Linked DNA regions of Drosophila melanogaster. The gene in region 1 interacts genetically with each later gene. Each region holds a gene or a part of one and is shown in the gene's direction. Other genes may lie near its edges.

Evidence for each region.
Region 2: of edl (region 1) and aop, changing one enhances a phenotype caused by changing the other (phenotypic enhancement), as found in Drosophila melanogaster (3 studies listed by BioGRID).
Region 3: of edl (region 1) and mid, changing one suppresses a phenotype caused by changing the other (phenotypic suppression), as found in Drosophila melanogaster (one study listed by BioGRID).

The regions. Positions count from the first base shown.
Region 1 is NT_033778.4:18,671,783-18,675,540, reverse strand, and holds the start of edl (ETS-domain lacking), read left to right. Parts: upstream 1-2,004; 5' UTR 2,005-2,595; intron 2,596-3,758.
Region 2 is NT_033779.5:2,176,782-2,180,539, reverse strand, and holds the start of aop (anterior open), read left to right. Parts: upstream 1-1,785; 5' UTR 1,786-2,693; intron 2,694-3,758. UniProt on the Drosophila melanogaster protein: Ets-related protein that functions as a negative regulator of photoreceptor development acting antagonistically to pnt and the proneural signal mediated by RAS. It acts upstream of SINA to inhibit R7 development.
Region 3 is NT_033779.5:5,459,515-5,463,272, forward strand, and holds the start of mid (midline), read left to right. Parts: upstream 1-2,124; 5' UTR 2,125-2,403; coding exon 2,404-2,590; intron 2,591-3,758.

The DNA.
Region 1 (3,758 bases):
ATATATATATGTACATATATTGTTTTTTTTGGCAACTCTCATTGCACATCCTGTGTCCAAGACGATTCTTATCGCCTTCGAGATACTCGTACCTAATGCTTAGATTCAAATTCCGATTCCTGGCCAGACAATAGGGAAAAAACGTTGCAATTGGATGCAAGGCAGCTGTTTTGGCTTGGGTTCGTATGTGGACAGGATGAGCCGGGGATTAACTGTATGTGCACTTGGAAAAAACCCATGCAGGATTATAAAATTAGTGAATAAATATTCAAACATTCGCTTGATCACTTTTATATTGATATTAAAGATACTGCTAGCTTAAAATTATAAAATGGTCTATATTATATTCTTAAAATCAAAAGTACTTTTCAAGTTCTGCTTGATTTTACATTATTTTTTTGTGGGTATACATTTTTCTCCGTGTGTCCTTATCTACGCGCGTCCTTCGCATCGCAATTAGAAATGATTAGAACAACGCCGCAATCAATTAAGGAAAATGGTACCTACTCAATTTATTTGCCCGGCGATCGACAACTGCTGATAAACAAGCCATTAGATGCACTTGAGATCGCAACAGGACACCGCTTCAAAGAGTAGCTGCTGCATCTGCGCTGCAATTCGAGTGCAGCTGATCGATCCTGCACCTATGCACCTTTTTCAGGGCGTACGCGTGCCCGTGGGCGTGGTCCTGCAACTACTGATAAAATTTCCAAGTAAAAACTGGCGTAACTCGATCAGCGGCATGATCCCGCCTCACGCGATGGTTAAAAGGATTCCAGCACGCACTTGACAGCTCTGCACACATGGCTGACCTACAGTACAGATAAATATATATATGTATGTATTACCATATGCTATACCATTCCGATTCGAATCCCCAAAAAGGATCTCCAGAGGTATCCCGATATCGCTTGGCATGCGTGCCAGCCGCAAAACATTGAAATGCTTTTTAGTGCGCGGCAGGAAAAGGATTTCCTGTAATTACTCGACGATCAATGCTGGCTGAATAATTAGGAACGTTCCACGAAATTAATGAGTTAGTTACTTACAGAATTAATGAATGCACAAGTGCATGATAAATCTTCGAAAATTGTTAATGAATATGGTGATAAATTAAGTGTCAAGGTCTAGTCATAGAAAACGTGGAATAATATAGGAAAAGTACAAAATATAAAGGTTATGGATATTTGTATATTCTTTTATGACATATTAATTTCAACATTTTATTTCAAAACATGTTTTTAATAACTACTCCTTAAAATACTTTTTTTTCAACTGCGCACAGAAGTGTCAAAGACACTCGATGACAGCTTCCAGAAAAGATATTTAGAACATTCGAATGCAGGGATTAACCCGACGGATTGCCTTTCTCTGGCTGTATGTGAATCTTTCGTTTCCTTAATACCCCTATAAATAAGAATACAAATACCATAAAGTCTGTTTTCAAATCCCTTAATCCTTGAACAAAAAAGTTCATACAGCTAAAGTTAACCCACATTTCTATAGGCCAAGGAACTATTCGTATTTCCTTCATTCTGGAAGCCAAAGAACCTCTTTTCATTGACCTTAGCTGTTGGCTCAATAAGCAGGAAAGATTGTTCGAAATGCGGGTCTGCATATACACTGAAACAAAAAACTAAAAATTTTCAATATATTCACCGATATTAAGTCAGTAATAAACTATATAATTCTATACTTTGATATGATTTATTTATATAAATTAGGTAAATATTTATATATAGACATATATCAAAAACTAAATTCTTAAACATTTGTTAATAAGAACAAAAATTAAAGTTAACGCAATAAGTAAAAATATTTTTTTTTTTTAATTTTTCCAACTTTTAATTGTCCTTTTAATACTAATTTCTTTCTGTACGCGATCTACAAATATGTCCACAGCTGTTGTCGAGAGAAACTGCAGAGCTGAGAAGCCGGGCCGAAATTCGAACTCGAATTCGAAGAGAGCGCAGTCAACAAAAACCGCTGCACGAGCACGATCGCAATCAGTTGAGAACGTGGAGCGCGCGCGAGCAGAACGCAGACACAGATACATTTCTGAGCTTCATATAGATTTGCAGTGCGCATTACTCACTCATCCGCCAGATACAAAGATACGTTTCGCAGTACGCCTGACGATTGCAACTGGCAAACTGGATTTACCACCCCAAAAAAAAAAAATAAAATAAAAGAAATAACAAAAAATAGAAAACCAAAACAATAGCCACAACTACAAATCGTGTTAAGTGAAAAACGAAGCCAATTGCAGTAGCAACGAAAAACTTTCAAAACCCGAGCCATAGCGAAATAGGAAAAGTAGTTCAGAGCGTGAAAAATACGTTATATGCTGCAAAAGTTGTGAAACGAAACGTATCCGAGAGATACAATCCCATTGGGAGAGCGAGAGCCAAGCAAAGTGCAGTTTCCAGAAGCAGATACCATTTAAACATATTTATAACCCAACCGAAACCAAACAAATAATAAAGGCTGAAAAATTCGAATACACCCAAAAAAACAAATTTTCCAACAACTCAACCTCGACGACGACGATTCGCAACACAAACTATTGTTGGATTAACATTTTTTTCGATCAAGGTAAGTCGGTTTACATATGCTGTTTTCATTTTTTTTTTTTATGGCCATCATTAACACTCAAAAGCATTCCGAAGGTTTAAGTTGACTCTTGGCTTTTATAGTTGGTATGTAGCTGTCTTGCAGCCCAAAAACCGACAAAAGTTGTCTGTCAGTTTTGATGTGACTCTGGCTAATTGACCTCCAAGCTGGTGTTTTCATAATTAAGCTAAAATGAAGCCGAGCGGTAGTAACAAATTGAAAGTTCACGTAGATACATATTTCAAGATATCTTGAGGTTCGACTGGTTCGGCATTTGCCAAGGGAAATAAGCTACATAACGGCTAAGATACATCTTTTGGGCCAAAAAGAGGAAGACCACCTTGTGCTGCTCGACTGATCCCTTAATAACATACAATTTCGTTCTGTGCACTAACAAAGCGACACTTAAAATGCCAAGACGGCAGCTGCAAACAGAATTGTTGTGGCCAAGTCGATAAAGATGCATTCGGCTGGATGGTTTCGTGGTTTCTCCCAGTTATTGGACCCGTTTCTCTGTTCATTCTGTTCTTCTTGCTCACACTGAATGCGCGCGCATGCGCAAAGGATATGGAGTTGTATGGGCGTCGAGGGTTGCAGCAGGAGTGGCATACCGTTTGCCCCGCGTGTTCTGGGTAATCTTTGCAGCTGCAGGACTGAACAATCTGCACCTGGCCTCGCCCGCTTAATTAATTTCCCAGCTGACTCAGCTCGCCGTCGTTCTTTCTCGTGGGGAGGTGGAAATGACAAACCTCTGACTATGCCACTCACTTTGATAAGCACTTACTGGGCCATCGGGCAGGGGACCCACTTCCTGCTGACCCAAGGGCGGCGAGGAGCTGGGGATCAGCTGCAATGGCTCACTTCGCGATGACACGTGCGAGGCGTGAACAGTGAACGCGGAACATACATGAATCCCCTACTTTCTTAGTTCCTATCACATTCATTTTAATTTACTTGCGCTACTGCACATTTGACAAGACTCAAAGCGATTCGAAATGCATTTGGCGCCATTTGGCCGCACGGTACTTATATTTTTAAACGCATCAGCGACAACAAGACCGAAAGTCGTCACACATCCGTCCATCACACATTGGGGGCCACAGTGCCGCACACTGAGCGAAAAGGTTGTGTGCGAAAAAAATATC
Region 2 (3,758 bases), on another chromosome or scaffold:
CCCCTGTGCGATCCTCATCGGCAGCTCTGCCCCTTCCGCCCCGTCCTCCTCCTCCGCCAGCCACCCTTTCACCCTGGAATTTCCCGATGGGCGACGCACCATGACCGAAGCTACTAATTTGGGCCAGTGATCGTCGCTGCGGCGATCACTTGGAAACGTCGTCATCGCCATCGCAGCTATCGACGGAAAAGATAGCACTTGAAAAAAATATCTCTATTATATTTCTTAATTAGAGTCACAATCTAAAAGTTCTTTAATGTTTCATATCACGAGGCTTACTCGCTAAACTATTTATAGCCATAAAAATACATGTTACTATTTATTACTTACCTAAATGCCCATTAATCTAGATTTTCTTTCAGTGCATACCCACGGAACTGAGCAGGGGCGTGCAGGGCGTGGGCGGGGTCGTCCGGCTGGTCGCCGTTTATGGGCATTTGACTTGAAATGTCAACGTAAACGTTGCTCGTTGCTCGGGGAGAAACTGGTTAGCCAACTGAGGCGACTGGAGACCCCAAAGCGGATGCAGTGCAACTGAGCGCATCTTCAGGCCCACCGACCGACCGACCAACCGACCGTCCAAGCAACCTGACGAGGAACCCCAGCCCCGCCCCCTTTCCAAAGAGATTTTCCGTCGCAGCCGAGCGGAAATGTTCCAACAATTTATAATTAAAGATTGCCAACTGGTTTCCATGAAGATCCAAGATTTATGGGATCGAAAACACCTATCAGCTAGCACCTCCAAACATTTTGTATTACAATAGAGCGCTTTTCCCAGGCGCGTGGCGCTTATTTCATTTTCGGCCAGGGGGTCGTATTCATAATTATTTCAAATGCTTGAGAGCATTATCGCACACTGATTAGAGTTCACGGAATTGTCTTATCTATGGTTTATGTGCAAAAAGCTCGCCAATAGTCACAATTGACAGCTAATGGGTATGGCATGCTCGATCATTTCAAGTTTCCAGTCACAATAGGTGTGTATGTTATCTAGTGAGAGAACGATCCCTTGGTATTTCGGCGCCCATGCTTCTGGTATCAGCATGAATCGTTTGTTTAAACTTTATCTTCTATTGATTAACAACTAAATCGAGCGCCCCACGCGAATTCGACGCCGCCCACAGACAGCGGTTGCCTATTGAGTTGTTTCGTAGTAAACTTTGGTGGGTTTTAAATTATTTAAATTATTACCTCTGCGAGCTGTTGCTTCTTTCGTTGCCAAGGAAGTGGATGGTGGATCTGTAAATGTTTACGCGCCTAATGATTTGTTTGTGGTCTTTGCACACACTCCTACTTCTCAGAGTATAATAACATAATCGAGATTATTATGGCAATTGTGGGGAATCTGGGAATTTTAAAAAATTACGAACATAAAATACGTATGTTAATTGAGATTATTGTGAAATTATTCCGGAATTGGAATTGGAATTTTGTGGCGCATGCAAGTCTCTCAAGCTCTGATATAAGATTGTTTATAAATATTGAAATATAATGAGCAGCTCAGGGGTGTCTTTCAATCGTTAAAACTTTAACTCATATAAGACTGGCGCATCAAAGCTTCACTGTACCTCAAAATATAGGTCCGATTTAAGATATAAATCTTGGACGCTAAAACGGATACGGATCAAAGCGCGACTTCCTTAAAAAATTATCTTATTTTCGTATTCTTCACCAGTTCTTTTTGAATTGTTTTTGCTGTATGTCGCTCTCTTTGCTTCTCTTTCTCTTTCGATTCTCTCTCCGCATGCGCCGACTTGTTCATGTTCGCCGCCTGTTCGAATCGAATCGGCAGTCAAAAAGAAACTGCCGTGCTGGGCGGACGTGTAGAAGAGTCGCTCCTGAAAGCAACTAGACATTCTGCTGTAAATGGCAAACTAATATGTTTTAAATTGATTAATTCACAATTAATAGAATTTAATTCGTGCGCGGCGTTGAGGAAATAAACGGTTCTTCTTAACTCGGTGTGTGTTTACATTGCCCGGTGTGTGTGTGCGCGAAACGGAAATAAAAAATAAACAAGAGCGACAGCAACAACGCCAACAACAACAGCAACATCAGCGAGAGCAAAGCAACGCAACAAGAAGTGCAAGCAAAAGTGAAAAGGAAGACGAAAGAGGAAATGCCAAAGTACAACAACAAATACACGAACAAAACGCCAGAGTGCAAGTGCATCGCGTGAGTGTCTTACAGTGTGCGTGTGCGTTTGTGTGCCCGCGTCTGCCTGTGTGTGCGTGCTGCTGAGGCGGCGGCGGAAGTAAAAACGCTTGACTTCGCCTTCTTCTTATTCATTTGCTCCGCTTTACGGCTGGCATTTGTCGCAGAACGAAGCGAAAACAAAAACAAAAACAGAGAGCCTGGATTAGCCCCAAAAGCACACAACCACCGCCCACGCGGCGCCCCTCACCAAAAGGAAACAGCAACACAAACAACAATGGCAACTTGGCGCGACGCCCTCTTCGTCATCAGCAGATAACAACAAGAACAACATCGAATTAACAGAAACAAAACCAAAAACAAAAATAAAACAAGAAAGCGAAGCAAAAGCTAAAGCATTCTGGGATCTGGACATATCCGCTTCCGCGTTGCTTCTGTCGCTAAAAAGCTCAAGAATCGAATCCGAAGCCCAACGCAAACAGACAAATTCACTCACTCACCTTACAGTACGTAACCACAGTGCACAGTGGAGCAAACAGGTGAGAATTTTGATAATTTGTATACTTTTTGTTGTGAACTGTTAAATTAACCATTGTCAAAATAGTAGCAGAAAAGAGTGTCAAAAATAAAAACATTTTTTCTCAATATGTAAGCACAATGGTTTTTATATCTGGAGTTCTTTTATATTCGTAATCGTGCAAGAATCGGTGTTTACAGACATTACCCCTGTATCACTCCATTGCCGTCGTTGCTTTTTTTTACGAATTGGTTAAAACACCATCTTTTGGTACATGTATTTCCCATAACTACGTCACAATGGTCATGGAAACAGAAAAGTGTCTTGTCTGAGCAGCTGATAAATAATTGCTCCACCTTAATCTGGCTTTGGTTATCTGCTGCATATGACTTCCCCACTTCGCTCCACCCGACGTCTTACAATGTCTGAGTTTTGGTCTCTGGTTGAGGTCAACAATTTGTCGGATCTACACGTGTAAACAGATAACTTGGGCTATATTTGGTTCGCAGTACACTCATATGAGATGGATGAAGACTCGGCAACAACGGTTTATCTAAGGTTTAGTTGATTTATTTGCCTGTTCAGAGGATCTGATTGTGGCGTTTTCATTTGGGGCTTGTTTAAATAATAAGAGTTACAATTTTATGGGGATCTTGGGAGTGGTTTTATAGTTTAATTATTGTTTTGTTATCTGATTGTTGCGCATAATTTGTTGTATGTTCTTCTTGTTTCCAAATATGATTAGATATTTCTTACAGTCTAGTTGGATTGTGATTAATTATTACCTGTGGTTGGTTGAGAACCATATGCAAATACTCATAGCTCAGTCTAGTAACAATATGATATGATAGTAATTTCTCTTCCCAAGCCCAGTGTCTTGACTCTCATTGTATGCACGGTACGCTTCACCGATTCCCTAGCATTCTACAATACGAACAAGATCGATTCACTTGGAAAATAGCCTCTTCTATTTTCACATTCCACTCCACATTACGGTACCTGGGTGCTTTTCGTAATGCCCGTTGCATCATATTGGCCAGGTCCGAGTTTTCCGCCACAAAAATGATGAAAACGGTAATTATCGGAG
Region 3 (3,758 bases), on another chromosome or scaffold:
TCATCAATCAAAGTGACCGCCCAGTAAAATTGGAGCAGGAAAATGTATGTCCTTCTTGCTGACCAGAGGAAATTTCCACAGTCCTGTGTCGGCCAAATTCAAAGTGAAAGTATTCGATTACCCAAAGCGATCGTTAAGTGAGAAAGGGAAAAGTATCGAAGAAATTATAAATTGCCGACAAAGCCGAGGGCCAAATACTTGAGATTTCGAGAGGGAAAGGACATAACAAGGAGAAAGTCAAACGAGGACAGTTAGCCGCACTAATTAACAAGCAGAATTGTTTATTTTTACAAGTGCCAAGTGGCCACTTTTTTTTCAGATCGACCGCCCTTTGTTTTCACAACTTGTGTTTTCCTTGGCTTTTGACATTTTGGTGACATACGGGACTGCCACCTAAAAAGACACACATGTAGATGCACAGACAAGGCCAACATATTAGGAACATAGGCTCTTTTTATGAAAGGAAGTGTAAACCTTTTTCTAGAATCAAAGTATGCACTCTACTTTTTAGAACCAGCGTTCTTGTGTCATAAAATTGTATTTAAAGTTATCCCAATCTATAATGCTATCGTCCGTTTTGCTTTTGAATTTGTTAATGCTGATAAAACATTTTATAGCTATCAACTTAACTGCAATTGTAACCAGAACACACACGACGCATCCCTCCCCGTCCACTTTCACCATTTCTCCCAGGGCGAAAGTGTCAAAGTGACATGCCCACTTTGTCGCTACCCGACTTAAAAAATGTCTCAAATTACAAAAATCACACAACAAGACGGTTTGTTCCTCGCACAGGATAAGCGGGATTAGTCAGCTTGTTAGTTAGTTTGGATCTCCGCGTTCCGTTTTTCAGGATCGCAGGATTTCCGTCATGGCAATTGGCAATCCGAGCAATACGTAATGAATGTGACGAACTGTCAGTTGTTTCGAGTTTCCTTGTCGCAGCCGCATTTTCTTTGCATTTTTTAGCGGGTTAATTGGCACTGACAAAGGTCTTGACTTTTGCCTGGGAAACATAACAATTTGTTGACATCTGTAAATATTATGGGGGAATTTTCCAGAGGACTAGCTTCTATCATACAGCGTGTGGAATTGTATATAATTACTAACGGAAAAATATCCCTGTTAACTTTTTGAATCGCCATAATCTAAATTTCATGATCATATCCTCTTGAATATAAAAAAATATAGCTTTACAAATAAAAATGTCTTGACTAATGCTTATAGATATACTATGTTTTCAAATGGACTTCTATAATATGTACTAAGCGAATTGTTTAAAATATGTTCTTCCCTTTACCGAAATAAATTCAAATTGCATATACATTTTAAATAAACTTGTAGTTATTTTCGCACTCTTTATTCATGTTTTTAGAGCACAGAAAAATTTCTCGAGCTCAAACTAATAAATTCCCAACGTCCCATTGCAATAACCTTGACTCAAGGTCCATGTCCTTGCAGATAAATAAGAAAGGAAAAACAACGGGATGCAACTGCAGAAAAAAAACAGAGACATAAAACTCACTCAAAACAGAATTGAGTGAGACACGGAACGTGTTGGAAACGAAATGGAACAGACGGAAGATGGAAGAAAACGTCAGAAGAGGAGATAACAGGAAATGGAATGCGACGACAACGGCGAAAAGTTGTTTAAAAAAAAAGACCAAGAAAAACCGCAAGCAAAACGTTGGCACTTCATAAATGGGCGAGAAAGAGAGGCAAAAATAAAAAGAAAGAGACCTCGCTATGGAGAAATAGAGAGGTGCGAGGGAGAAGGCCAAAAGCGCCGACATTTTTAATTGTAAATGAGTTATGACGCGTTCGTCAGAGAGAGAGGTGAGGCGAAGAAAAGAGAGGGGCGCAAGTTGCTGACAGCGCCGCCTTTCTCTCTGTCGCACGTTCACTCCCCCGCCGATTTTCCAATTGGAAAACGAGAGAGCGAGTGGCGTTTTCACTCAGAGTGTGCGGCTATAGGGCTATCCCGCTTGCACTCGTACTGGCGCGGCTCGCTGTAGGGTGGTCTCGCTTGCACACATAGGGACCATAAGAGGAATAACTGGTTTCCCGAGTTTTGCGCCTGCCGTCGTTTTTGGCTTCTCAGCGGCAACATTTTCCTGACACAATTCAGTTCGTCGTCGCCTGCCTTCCGTTGCGCACACACTCAGTCCGCGAGATTCTCAGTTCGCGTGCGCCAAAGATAAGCAAAAGAAAGCAAGAGAGATATAAAGATACAAGATACTTACACCTTGAAACATACACATACCCCTCGAGTTACCAAAGCTAAAGATGCATCTAGCTTTATAAGTGCCAAGTGTTGAAAAGTGACCAGATACAATACCCCAATACCTTTCCAAGGTATTCCCTAGTTAAAGCCCCATTAAGAACAACATCATACCCTTCAAAATGCTGGTTGGATCTCATCCGTATTTGTGCAACGGGGTGCCCGCCGCCCCTGCAGCACCAAATGCCAGTGGACAGACAACAACAACGGCTAGCAAAAGTGCCGCCGGCTCAGCGACGGACTTTTCCATCGCCGCCATCATGGCTCGCGAAGATGCCTCCAGTCGGGAGTCCTCCATTCGCAGTGCAAGTAAGTTCAGATACATATTGAAAATATCCTTAATAAGAAAGGAATTCTGTGGGAAGCGGCAGAATCATTAATCGGTTGATAGGAACAATTTGTTCTTAAAAATATATTTTTATGCATTAGAAATTTAATGCCTTGAATATTAAGCATTTCGATTATATAGTGATTTTTAAACAAGATTTTTTTAGGCTTAACAGACTTACAGCAAGATTCATTGATGAGATGTAGAATATCTTTAAGATACTTTCATTTCTGTAGTCTCAAATACCATAGGGTACTTTTGTTTAGAACTTCATTTGACAAGCTATAAGTTCCCTAATTCAACAATCTTTAATCATAGTAGGTAGTTGTAACTTTAGATATTCACTTATCTCCTAGCAGTGCTTTCTGTACAAAAACTTACTTAACATACCAGCACACAATAACTAGAAATTGCTAAAACAAAAATGGAATTTTTATACGATTAATTCAAATTAAACGTGATTAACAACTCAACGCCCAAGAAGAGAACCGCAAACTTGACCAGCGAATGCAAACATTATTAGCCACAAGACAATCGCTAATTGATTGCACAACAAATCTATTAAATTACTGTTGTCGCTTTGGGTGCGCAGAGTTCCATTTAATTGCTAATGACAATTAGCAGGCGTTCCGGCCACGTTAAAAAAGAAAAAACTAGTTCTCTCTGGCCGACGGCATTCGCAATTAAGTCGAGCCAAAGATCGCGAATCCAGATATTTGTTAGCAAACACTTGCAGCGCTCTTTTGTGGCCGATATTATGATAATATGCAAATTGTGCACAGCATCTAATCGCGCGGAATTCATATTTAACAAAGGCTGCTAATTATGTTAATTAATTTTCAACAATGTGCTTCATTTTATTAATTTTACGAGGCGCAGAAAATTAGCGACGGCCGAAATCAAAACAAAAACGCTACGAGGTGTTCGTATTTTACGATCTCTTTATCAAATATGCAGCTTTTTTAATTTCATATTTTGTTTTGTTTTTTTTGTTTTCTGTGGTCGCTTTCCGTTTTCCGTTTGCTTACTTTGCATTTTAACACCTACCGTCTGGGCTCACCTGCAAAAAAACCGGGCTGCTTAGTTCTCCCCATCATTTTGTTACCATTTTCGGCTTATGGAAAATGGAAAGCGTATGTGAGAGTTCGC